Linked DNA regions of Caenorhabditis elegans. The protein of the gene in region 1 interacts with the protein of each later gene in a pairwise test. Each region holds a gene or a part of one and is shown in the gene's direction. Other genes may lie near its edges.

Region 1 (4,560 bases):
CTAATTTTGAACAGGTGCTAGTTTTTGAATTTCCTCTGTTAACGTAACACAATCTACCTGCACTTCAAATAAAATAAAGTGTAGTAGTATTGCAATGATTAAAGTACAATTGGACTTTTGCACTTGTGGTGTTAAAAAAATTTATCTGGCACACCGTACATAACGGCAGTCTAGAAATTTCGACACCATTTGCGTGACATTAACGTCACATGATCATTGCTCACCTGTTTGGGAAACTACCGCATGCGGAGCAATCGATCCGCCTTTTTCCAATTTGGTACCTTTCCCAGAAAGTGTCCCGCCCATTTACAGAAGCGTTTTTTCTCTGGAATGTTCATTGTTCGTTGCTAATTTAATAAATGTCTTTCAATGCCTCACTATAGGCTCATCTTATCTTTTTTTTTCTTCTTATCACCCAGTTGGCAAACATTCAACTAATATAGTTCGTAACTCCAACACCACCACCCATTACGTTTCTCAATTTAACATTTTAGTATTTTCCATGCCCAAGTTTGAGCTGTCGGCACAGTCGTTATTGAGACAAAGGGAAAGTCCCATGAACTTTTAGAAAGACTCAATGCCGCAAAGAACTTTCACTTTTTTTTTGTCTGTCTTGTATATGTAAATGTTACAAGAACCACAAAAGAAACCATAACTGACCTCCTATTCTTCCCGTGTGCAAGAATTTGATGCGAACACTGCTGATTTTATGACGCGTTGACCTACATACTCTCTCTTTCCTTGCAATACAACGCTTACATTGCAACAGTTTTATCGGTTTTTGTTGTCACTTTTGTTTTGGTGTTTTGCTTGTTTTGCTTGTTTTTTTCTAGTTGTCTTAAACGTCAACGTCAAATGGAGTTAGTTTTCCTAATTTTTCAAAATATTTTTTTGTTCTAACTAAGAGGCTAGTTTTTTCTTGAAGTTTACTATTAGTCAATATATTAACATTGATCAATTTGGTTACAAATAATTTGAGAAATCAATTTTTAATAAGTAGTTGTGACATATGATAGTAGTTTGTTTTGAATTTCAAAAAAAAACCAAAAATGAGCAATTTACATTTTTTCAGAAAACTAAAAACTGTTTTCTTACGAAGTTAAAATTTCCTATGACAGTATGTATACTAAAGTAACGTGAAAGAGCCAAGTTTTAATAGTTCAAAATCAATTCGCTAAAAAAAATTACCTTTTGAGCTCAAAATAAAAAACAGAAGTCTCGAAAAAATAAAGTTGAAAAAAATACTAAAACAACATTTTCAAACGTCACTTAAAAATTAAACAGTAAAATTTCCCCAATCACAATTATCAATCAGATCAATAAAACAAGTTTCCATTATCTTCTCTCTATCTCTTTGTTTTCGACTTGTGACTGTCACTCTCTCAGCGTGGGCGTTGACTGATTCACCAACTGACCGTTACGCATGTGACAATGACAATTCCCCAAATTGCGAAATGACATTTGTCAGACCGTCACGTCATCACTTTCATCCGATTTGTCATGTTGTGTTCGGTCGAGACAACACCCCGAATTGATTGATAAAATAATTGTATTTATATAGGCAATCTTATCACATTTTATCCCATTGCTGACCTTAGATTTCTTGACGTTTCTTCTCCACTTTTTTTTTGACAATTTCTCTTACTCTCTTCGTAGTGACTTAGTGATTCTAAATTTCAATTTTCAGAGAATGCGCTCCCTAAAACGCGAAAACTCAGGTTCCGCCTTATCCGTCAGAAGCTCAGATTCCGAAGGTGATAGTTACCATAACATGGTTAGTTGTTCTTTTTTACAAGTGTACTTAAGTATATCTAAATTTTTTCAGGACATTAAAAAATTAACTAATAAAGTTAAAGAAATTGACATTTCCGCCTTCGACCGCACAAGACTTTTCAACCCAAGAAAGCAAAGATCTTGTCACAAAAGAGCTGAACCAGTGTCAGAAGAGCACCGGAAAAAGGAGAGCAGCAAAAACTCCAGGGAGTATACCAAGAGGAATCGTGATGAAATTGTCACGTGTCAAAAGCTGTTTTCTGAAATCACAGCCATTATGCGGAGGTTCAAACAATTGACCGAGGAGATGTCAGTGGAAACAGTGGAAGTTAAGATTAAATCCATGATCAAAGACTGTCAAGAGATGCTAACAAAGTACACGAATTTGGATTCAAACGACAGATTTAATATTGGAATTCCCGAGGCTGAAGATTTTTTGGCAATTTTCCGCGAGAAAGCGCATGCAACGATGCTTTTCGAGCATCGACCAGAGTCTCCGAATATGTACACCGAAAATCTATTTAAACTACGCGAGCAATATCACAAGCTCACAGACCACAAGGACAATTTGAATTCTTCAAAGGACAAAACCAATTACGCGTCGTCAAAAAGCAGATTAAATCAGAGAATTGTGAGGGAACAGTTGAAAAGTGACTGCTGGGTATGTTGGAAGAGCATTAACACAATGATGGTCCAAGGAGAGCAACTTCAGGAGTACAACAACGAGCTGAAGAAAGATGTAAGTCTAACTTGTTAGGTGTTCGTAAACCGAGGTTTTTCCTGTGCAAAGAACACTATTGTTTACGAGTTGTTATCTTTAGAATGAGTAGAACTTTCTAAAAAATTTGTACTTTCAGATATGGAACAACATCTTAGCTGTCTACCACCAGATTTTCACCATGTTCTGTAAATATCCAGAATATGCAGACAAGGAAAAAATGGAAAGAATTGTGGAATATTTTGCTCCAGTTTCGAGAACACCAGGGCACCTATCTGTTGTCTGGAATCCAATGCCAAATGTTGTCAAGTCTCCACGGTCAGAAGAAATTCCAGAAATCAAAGTCGAATATGAAGAAGTTCCATCGTCATCTACCTTCTTATCTAACAACGAAACAACAATCGCAAGTGACATGGATATGTCGATTGATCGACCGCAAAGTATGGACATGTCGCAAACGCTTTCTCCAGAGCAAACGCTTTCTCCTAGAGAGAAGCTTCAAGTGCAAGATAGAAAGATCTCAACGACTCAAGAAACTCCTCCGGCGCTGCCATCACCATCCGGAACACTCACACTCCCAACAGTTCCAGCTTCGACATTAAAACGTAAAGAATTTGGTGACTTGTTGGCCTGTCCAACCGGCAAACGTGTAACTATTGATGAACCCAATCGAGCAGAGCGCACTGAGACAATTATGCCATCTAGACAAATGATGTACCCAATGGTGAATTACCAAGCACTTCCAATGGTAAGTTTTTTTTGAGAAAATGTTCGTCCATTTCAAAAACTTCTATATTTCAGCCACCACAATCAATTCCATCAATGATTCCCCCATTCATCCCTACGATTCCTTCGACGAGCACAATGCCTCCAATGATGCCGTATCCAAATGTTCTACTCACTGCTGCTCCGGGAGACGTTGCCCCAATCGATTCACTCACCCCATCATTTTTGAGAGCATTAGAGCAGCAAAAACTAATGGCAGCATTTTTAAATCACGCTTTTCAAAAATGTCAGAAGTAATTAAATTATTAAATGAACATTCATTGTTCTAACGCAATCTTAATAAAAACCGTATGCTTTCACAATTAGTTCAGGGTACTGTAGGACTGTCAACTGATAATTTTATAATCAATTTGTTTCTAGGGACTTACTCATTTAAATAATCGATTCATATATTGACTATCAACATTACCGGGCTCAGAAAATTTGAATTTTCTATGTTTTCTTTGTTTTCTACTTTATTGATTCTGTTCTGTTTTCACTTAACTCACATTTGAATTTCACAAATAAAAAGTTCAACAACGGAGTGTTCTTAAGGACACAGTTTATAAAAACGCGTGATTCCCCTCAACACTTTTATCTATTTCTGATGCTACAGTCGTCTTTGGTTTTTGGAGAATTGCCAGCAAGTCTAGAACATGTGGAATGGGGGAATAACTGACTTTTTGAACATGGAGTAGTGCAAAAATTAGCAGTGAAAACTTGCTTACCGTATACTATTTTAAATGAAAACGCATTGAAGAAATTTAAAATATAAATTTTATACGGTCATCGTAATTACAGATTAATGAACGGTGTTTTCTCACTTTTCACAAAAACCTGTTAGTCTTCTATAGGGAGTGGAAGTTTTTTTATTTTCCTCTCAATAGGGAATACCGTATGCTGTGAAAAGAAATATAGAATGAGTGATCCATTTTCTGAACGCTTATCAATTGGAAATTCCGAATTTTAAATAAAATGTTGCTCAATTTACTTTCGAGACAATTATTCTTGAATTAAAACTATATTTTGCGGAATAAAGTTGGCTTTGAAGTTACCTATCTTTGTGAAATTTAATTTTAGATAGGTCAAACTGTTTAATCGGACGAAATAATCACCAATGTATTTTTTACATTTTCCAGTTAGTGACGGTTCAGTAAAGCTCATTTCCACGGGATCGGAAAGTTTCAGAAACAACGCCTTTTTGCAAACATTAGCTTTTAAACATAAGTGTCTCAAAACTAAATTGGGCAGGTTTTTTTTCACAAACGCATCTAGAAAAATATCATTTCATATCTCTGGACACT
Region 2 (7,912 bases), on another chromosome or scaffold:
TGTCCCTTTTCATGATTATACCAGAGGGACCTATCTTTTTGGAAGGAATAAACAACAACAACAAGCCTTTCTTAGTGATGACTAAAAATTTAAGAATGGAACTATTATGTCGTTTAGAGAATTTTCATGTTCTGTTTTTACAATACATAGAGTTTCCGATTTTTTTTACTTTTTCTTTTTGTCTGAAATTTGTTTTTTTTTGTGTTTATTTTGAGAGTAGAAAGCCTGGTTTTGCTAAATTTTCCACCTATAATTTTTAGACAACATTTGAAACGTGCTTTAACTGAAACTGTCTATTTCTCTAATTTTCTCCGTTTCTGTCGCATCGCTACATATGTTTACCCAATTTCCGTGCTGCTTCTTTTCATTTTTCATTGTGCCTTATCGATAGAGAGAAGCAGAGAAAAAGAGCATCTCTCTCACGCAGAGGGAAAAAAGGTTTTTTATCGATAACACACACCGCCCATTACTTTTGATCTTTCCCTTTTTCAAAGTCATGTGGGTTTTTGGTTCTGCTCATAAATGATTTAATCAATACATAGCATGAGTTGAACAGTAGTTAGAAAATGACATCGCTCCTAGGAAGAAGACATTTTCAACTTATAAAATTGTTTGAAAGTTCTATTTTTAAATACAAACACTTAGAGTTGTACAGTACTACAACTGATATCGTTTTTTTTATTTGTATTGCACTACCTAGTATACATAAAACGATAGAAACAGAACAATTATTTTGTCAGTTGACAAAACGACAGAGAAACTGTCAGAATTGAATAATTCGCGAAATAAAAAATAAAGTGTGGTATTGACTGTTTTTTTTTTGAAGATGATGCTGAATTTCCTGATAAAGTTGTCAAAAATGAATGATGTTTAAGATATTTTTGAAGAAACGTTCGGAATAAATTTGTTCTCTAGAATAATTATATAGTTGCTCTCTCAATGATGTAAATCATATTTTGATGACATTTTAGCTTTAAGAAAATTCGCTAATAAATTGGTTGTAATGTTTCTCAAATAAATTTCTCTTGATTCTCCTTCCAATTCTCAATTGTTCCTTTTCTTCGTCTTTTCCAAAGGAACCCCGCCCATTGTTGTCGCCTTTTGGCATGCACAACTAGTTTTCCCTTCAATCTGAATTATTCGATTGGTCAAGCTTCTTTTCTTTTTCTTATTGAATTTAAATTTTTAACTATCAATTTGTTAAATTGAACGGAAAGCTTTGCATTGGAACATCTTATTTTTCGGGGACGTTATTCTTTCATAATCGTTATTTAATTCGTAAATGTTGAACTTTTTCTCTCCGTATGACAAAAATTGACCAAAATGTTGATTGCAGGCCTGTGAAAGATCGATCCGTCGTGCCGTGGTGTGAAGAGAAGTGACGTGAAACGGTCCGAAGGAGGGTATCGTACTGTTTCGCAAAGCTACATCATCTCCACACATAGCCGTTTCCCCGCTTCATCTACGGGTTCATACCAAACCAGAGTAGCTCATTCACTCATTTTTTTGAACAAAAAGGGTTCGTTTTCATTTTCCAACAAAATACATCCGATCCGTCAGTGGCGCCGCGCGCCGAAAAAGGAAAATATATGAGGTATTGGCCTCTCTCTCATAAAAGTCATAAAAATTGAATCGCCATGGTGTCCGCGAGAGAAGGAGAGCCGCGTGAGAGACTAGAAGAGAAATGAAGAAAAAAGGAAAAAAAGGAGCTCAAGAATACAAGTCAGCTGCCCCAAGATACTCGGCTCCGCGCAACTCCACACCATTTCCAGAGTTTCCCTCACTTTCTTACAATTTTGAATTGCAGGTGAAACAAAAAATCAGTCGATAAAAGGAAAAGTCATCATCAATTTTAAATATATAAACACACACAATGGCCTCGACATCGGCAGGACAGAACTCTGCAGCTAAACGTAAGTATTTACTGAATCCTCGTCTGAAACTACCATTGTTTTTATTCTTATTTTTTGCAATTTAAGACTATCGCTAAAATCAGCAAACATTGAGCATTTTTTGAATAAATTTCAAAAAGTTAAATAGTCCATTTTCAATTTTAGTAGGAACTAGAATTTTCATTTTCTTTGATTGGGAAAATACGGGAAAAGAACAATATTTTTTCAAATCAATTTATTTTGAAGTTTGGTTTCCGTTTCACGTTACATACCTTTAAATGTTATCGAAAAATTAGTTGTTGTTTTCCCTCTATCTCCTTTTGCCCCCTCGAAAAATGATTTTAGAAGGAAATAGAGACACAAATCGAATTTGTAGTGTTGTTGTGCATCATCACACACGCAGTCGTCGGGGGCTTCATCCTTTTTCTAGGTGTCTCTATCCGAAAAAATCTAGCGAAAGAAAAATGGATCTCATCTGGAATGCATGAAAAGAACCATTTTTTCAGCTGACACTACCAACACTACCACCACCGCCTCGAACAACAATCGTGAACGCGAACGTGATTTGAAGCAGTTCACCGAACGATTTGTCAAGAGTAAGTATTTGGCTTCTGCAGTCGGGCGGCAGTTTGAAAAAGAAAAACCAATTAAAGTGTTTCTTGCTTCAGGTTACGGAGAAAAGCGCCATGCTCTTTTTTTCTCTTTTTTTTTGCGCAGCACACCACAACCACCCCCATCCACCCTCACATTGGCACACACACATTGAAGAAGCCAGAAATTATACGCGCAGAGAATTTTTTTTTTTGCTTGTCCCGTTGTCGTCGTGAGCTGCAGAGCCGCAGAGAGTTTCTTCTCGTCTATTCTCAGCGCAAACTCTCACTGTCTGACTCACGCGGGTCCGTTGCTCTGAGGAGCTCACCAATGGCTCCGCGTCGGCTCACCAGGCACATAGAAAATATATCGAGAGATAGAGAGTTCTTATTCTCTCTGATTCTCTCTCCGTCATTCTCTTTTTCTATTCGAAAAGATTCTGACGAAGTCGCCGTCATTGGCGTCGTCGTGTGTGTGAGAGAAGACGGGAAGGAAGGGGAGTGAGTGACTGCTGTAGCTTGAAATCGAAAATTAATCCCGAAACGCTTGAGAGGGTTCCCATAGTAATTTAGGAGGGCGGCGGCGGCTCGGGCGCCATGTGGGGAAGATGAGCGTGAGAAGAGCATGGAATTTGAGAAGAATTGAAAAAAAAATAGAAGAAGGGAATAGAAAGATGAAGGAATTCGGAAGTAAAATGGAATAATGAAAACATTATATTTTTTCTAATTTCTCATTTTTCAGCCGTTCAATTTCCTGTTTCCGAACGCCTTACCGTTGATCAGGTCTACGACCGGCGGACTGGAAAACCAAGGCATGAAGTTCTTCGAGATCATTTTATTAAGGTGTGGAATAGATTTTTAAGAATATAATCAAATCAACAATTTTGCAGGAAGGAAGGATAGAAGAAGAAGCCGCGATTCGTGTGATTCAAGAATGCTCAAGCCTGTTCCGCAACGAAAAAACGATGTTGGAAATCGAGGCGCCGGTTACTGTATGCGGAGACATTCATGGTCAATTCTACGATCTCATGAAACTATTCGAAGTTGGCGGATCGCCCGCAACTACCAAGTATCTATTTTTGGGTGACTACGTGGATCGAGGATACTTCTCGATTGAATGTGTCCTGTATCTGTGGGCACTCAAAATCTGCTATCCGACCACGTTGTTCTTGCTTCGAGGAAACCATGAATGCCGTCATTTGACAGAGTACTTTACATTCAAACAAGAATGCAAGATCAAGTACTCTGAACGGGTATACGATGTGTGCATGGAGTCATTTGATGCTCTACCGTTGGCAGCTCTCATGAACCAACAATTCCTTTGTGTTCATGGTGGATTGTCCCCAGAAATCCATACTTTGGAGGATATCAGGAGGGTTAGTGAAAAACATGAGATCTAAAACTAATATTTTGAAAAATACCGTATTTCTCTATTAGTACGGTACCCGTTGTCGTTTGTTCTATCAAAAAATTCTCAATTAACAAAATATTTGTTAGTTCTTTTTCAATATATTTTCAATTAATTTCTTTGATATGTATCATGAACCGAGTGAAGTTTTTAAAGTGAAATAGTTAGGTGCAATACTGAGAGAAAATTTACGGTATATGTTTGTTTTATATGTTTTAAAGTACTGTTTAACTTTAATCCGAAATTACGACCATATCTTAAATGTCTATTTAATTTGTTGACTTTCAGATAGACAGATTCAAGGAGCCCCCAGCATTTGGTCCAATGTGTGATCTTCTCTGGTCAGACCCACTTGAAGATTTCGGAAACGAAAGGAATTCAGAACAATTTAGTCACAATTCGGTTAGAGGGTGCTCATACTTTTACAGGTATCCCATTCACTATAATCTTCATTTTAATAGAACGAAATATTATAGCTACGCTGCATGCTGTGATTTCCTGCAACACAACAATCTGCTCTCCATCATTCGCGCACATGAAGCTCAAGATGCCGGGTAAGAGCTTATCCGTCGCCAGGAGATGCGAAAAGAGAACCTTAATCCTCTTTTCTAATTCTACTCTATTTTCCAGATACCGCATGTATCGCAAATCTCAAGCCACAGGCTTCCCATCGTTGATCACCATCTTCAGTGCTCCAAATTATTTGGATGTCTACAACAACAAAGGTGAGAGGAAATATGGGAATGGCATTTTTTGACGGAGAAACAAAAAGAAAACAAAATTCGGAAAATTAAACATTAAACATTAAACAACTTAACAATTTTCAGCTGCCATCCTGAAGTACGAGAACAATGTGATGAATATTCGTCAATTCAACTGCAGTCCTCATCCATATTGGCTGCCGAACTTTATGGATGTGTTCACGTGGTCATTGCCGTTTGTGGGAGAAAAAGGTATAGCAAGAAATATGTCGAAAACCAAATGAGATTTCCTTTTAGTAACGGAGATGCTGGTTCACATTCTCAACATTTGTTCTGACGACGAGCTGATGGCTGAATGCGATGACACCTTTGAAGGTATGTTCATGATTAAGCACTGGCTCCCTCAAAGGAGGTCCTACTGCGTAAAAAACTAGGTCACTTTAATATGAATTATTTCACAACAAAAAATATTTATGTATATATAATTTTTTTAAATTAAAATAATCTTCTACCGCCAATTTTGTCTCTATACACTTTCAATGATTTTGTCTTGTGCTCGGCTCAAATTGGCAAATGAAAAGCCGCATTGAAACGTTCTCCCCAAGAGATGGAATACATGTGTTTTTTGCTCGATTAATTTATATATATATTTGTAAATGTATATCTTAACAAGAACAGAAAATTGTTCCTATTCACCTCATATCACTCTTTTCTCCTACTGTGATATAAACTAAGGAGAGGAGAAGAAGAAGAGAGACTGTTTGAAAATTAATAAGGCACTGAGAGTTTGAAAGGGAAATAGGAATATTTCCAATTTTCCTTCAAAAACCTCAAAAAATGCACAAAAATCGGTGTTGTGTGTCCGGTACGGTTCTCTCTCTCTGTCTCTCTTCTACTTCTTTTCTCTCTAGTTTCTTGCCTTTTCCTTTCCTTCTCTTTTTTCCTTTTTCTTTCCTTCTTTTCTCCCTTTTTTTGAATATTTGGTCATTGTTTGAATGTTGTGCTACTCTTTTTTTGATTGAGCTCTCTGAAAAAGAAACCATGAGAAAGAAAAGGAAAAACGAAAAAAGGTATTGGCATGAGAATTGATATTTCTGTGTGAGTGTGCGTGTGTGCTCTGACTGAGAATGACTGAAATATATAGGTGTTCTCTTTTTCAGTTTGACATGATTGATTACTTCAGTTCAAAACTGTAACTATTGTACTCATCTGAATTAGCATTTCTCAGCAGTCATACGCTCCCTATGTGTACAGTATTCAAAAGATTAGCGCCACTTTGTAGGTTTAATTTTTTGTAGGATTTCACACTTCAAATTGAAATATAGTTTTTCGAACGATGTAGAAATGCTAGTCACTAGTACACAAACCATGATGTCGATTGAGAAAAAAACGCATGTATTGTTGACCTTGAGCATAGCAGAGCACTACTTGTAGAAATTTTGAGCTCATTTGCCGGAGCCATGTTTGGCTTGGAAGACATTTTGTCAATAGAATTGAATGACAGAAGTACCATGCCATCGTAAGAATATCATCATCCCTTAATTTTTGTCTATTGTTCTAAAACCTTGAAATGTCGGTAAACTTGTTACCTTTTCCCAGTGTTGCAGGCTTGAACTTGTTCTGAAAATCCAATAAAATTTTGACAAATTTGTCAGAAACTGTGTTTTCAAGCCGTCCGTTTTTTCCTTAACCGCACGCGCCTTTAAAAAAGTTAAATGTTAAAATCTCAGTAAAGATCTAAACATTAATCTCAAAACTAGCTACAAAAAAATAATGAAAAAGTCTAATCAAAATTTTAAGGAGCAGATGGTAAGTGGATATTCCCCTACCCACCACACACTGGTGACGTATGTTTGACTATCAGATTTAGTTTTATTTTTTCTTTAATTTTTTACCAAACTTTCTTCGGAACACCCTAAACAACACCCACCTCGGGCGTTTGGCGCTTATACACCATTTCTTAGTTTGTTTTATTTTTCTCTCTGAATACGGCTTTCTATTTATTTGACTTTTATGTGGCTGCTCTGCTTATCTTTTTTGTTCCGTTTTTCTAAAAAAAAATACGTTGCTTTTTTCTAATTATAATTGTTTTAGTTGTTTCATTTGGCTGTGTGCTGCTAAACTTTTAACGCCTTGTGTTTTGCATGTTTTATGTCGGATTTCCAACCTGGTCTTCTCCTGTGTTTTGGTCTCTTTTCAAAAATTCTGAAAATTCCAATTTTAAACATTGAAAAAAAATAGAAAGTCAAAAAATCGAAGAAAATGAAAGAATTCGAGCAGTCTAAAATTCAAAATTCTCTCACTTGGTTTTGATTCCCCACCCTAAAAATTAGTTACTAATTGGAAGAAATGGGTGTCTTTATTGGGATTTTTAGGGGTACGGTATAAGAAATGAGAAAGTGGAAATTTCCCCAAACCTGTGAGAAAAGACCTTGAAGTGTATATTTTTTCTATACATAATATTTTCTCAAAAAGGTTACTTTATATTTTATTAGTATATTACGGTATATTTGAAAAATTATTATGAAATTGTAAAAGTAGAATTGATGTTTACTCGACAAGAAGATTTTTTAAACTATGAGTTTTTTGGCTATTCTTACGGAACATAATCTTGGAACGAAATAAGAAAATGTTAACAATCGAACAAGTTTAGTTTTTTGTATAAAAAATTGTAGTTAAATTAACTAGACAAATAAATTTTCTTTTCCAAGAGCATAAAACTTCTTTAAAACTATTTACAACAAAAACTACCGTAATCCCTTCAAATCCCAATGGGACCCGTTTCCTCTAACTCAACCTCTATCATTTTCGGTGACGGTTGGCACATTGCAAAATCCCAAATTTTTACCCCCTTTGCCCTCCCCATATTCACACTATTTACAAGTAGTAATTTTTCACCTATTAGCCAATATATATGTACATGGCTTTCATTTTATTTTTGACATTTTTCTAACTTCATTCGGGGATTTCTATTGATTGGTAATGTGGTTGCCAGTGAATGGTGTCACCCCTTTTGAAGTTGTTGCCATGTCATTTGTAAATGTTGACGGTTCTTTTTTAAAAATTAATTTTTCAGGTGGAGTGGGGTCTGCAAGAAAAGAGGTTATTCGACACAAGATTCGAGCAATTGGAAAGATGGCAAGAGCATTCTCAGTTCTTCGGTAAGTTGATTAATTTTTTTCAATTTTAAACCGAATTTGTATGAATTTAAATAGAAAGTTTTTTTCTATTATAGAATGAGCATTTTTTTTAGTTAACTTTTATTTATTTTTGATAACATATATCTTAATTTAATGTTTCTATAAAAAAACAACATACTTA

The links.
Region 2: the proteins of cnp-3 (region 1) and tax-6 interact in a two-hybrid assay, tested with the Caenorhabditis elegans proteins (one study listed by BioGRID).

Annotation. Positions count from the first base shown.
Region 1 is NC_003284.9:17,135,238-17,139,797, reverse strand, and holds cnp-3 (Calcineurin-interacting protein 3), read left to right. Parts: upstream 1-1,687; 5' UTR 1,688-1,690; coding exon 1,691-1,774; intron 1,775-1,825; coding exon 1,826-2,512; intron 2,513-2,630; coding exon 2,631-3,239; intron 3,240-3,292; coding exon 3,293-3,514; 3' UTR 3,515-3,798; downstream 3,799-4,560.
Region 2 is NC_003282.8:10,495,022-10,502,933, reverse strand, and holds the start of tax-6 (Serine/threonine-protein phosphatase 2B catalytic subunit), read left to right. Parts: upstream 1-1,873; coding exon 1,874-1,913; intron 1,914-2,398; coding exon 2,399-2,488; intron 2,489-2,736; exon of another isoform or gene 2,737-3,015; intron 3,016-3,224; coding exon 3,225-3,325; intron 3,326-3,372; coding exon 3,373-3,858; intron 3,859-4,178; coding exon 4,179-4,318; intron 4,319-4,366; coding exon 4,367-4,444; intron 4,445-4,520; coding exon 4,521-4,615; intron 4,616-4,717; coding exon 4,718-4,843; intron 4,844-4,888; coding exon 4,889-4,966; intron 4,967-6,391; coding exon 6,392-6,400; intron 6,401-7,667; coding exon 7,668-7,752; intron 7,753-7,912. UniProt on the Caenorhabditis elegans protein: Calcium-dependent, calmodulin-stimulated protein phosphatase. Dephosphorylates arrd-17. Dephosphorylates daf-16 at 'Ser-319' which regulates daf-16 nuclear translocation. Dephosphorylates calcium permeable cation channel pkd-2 at 'Ser-534'.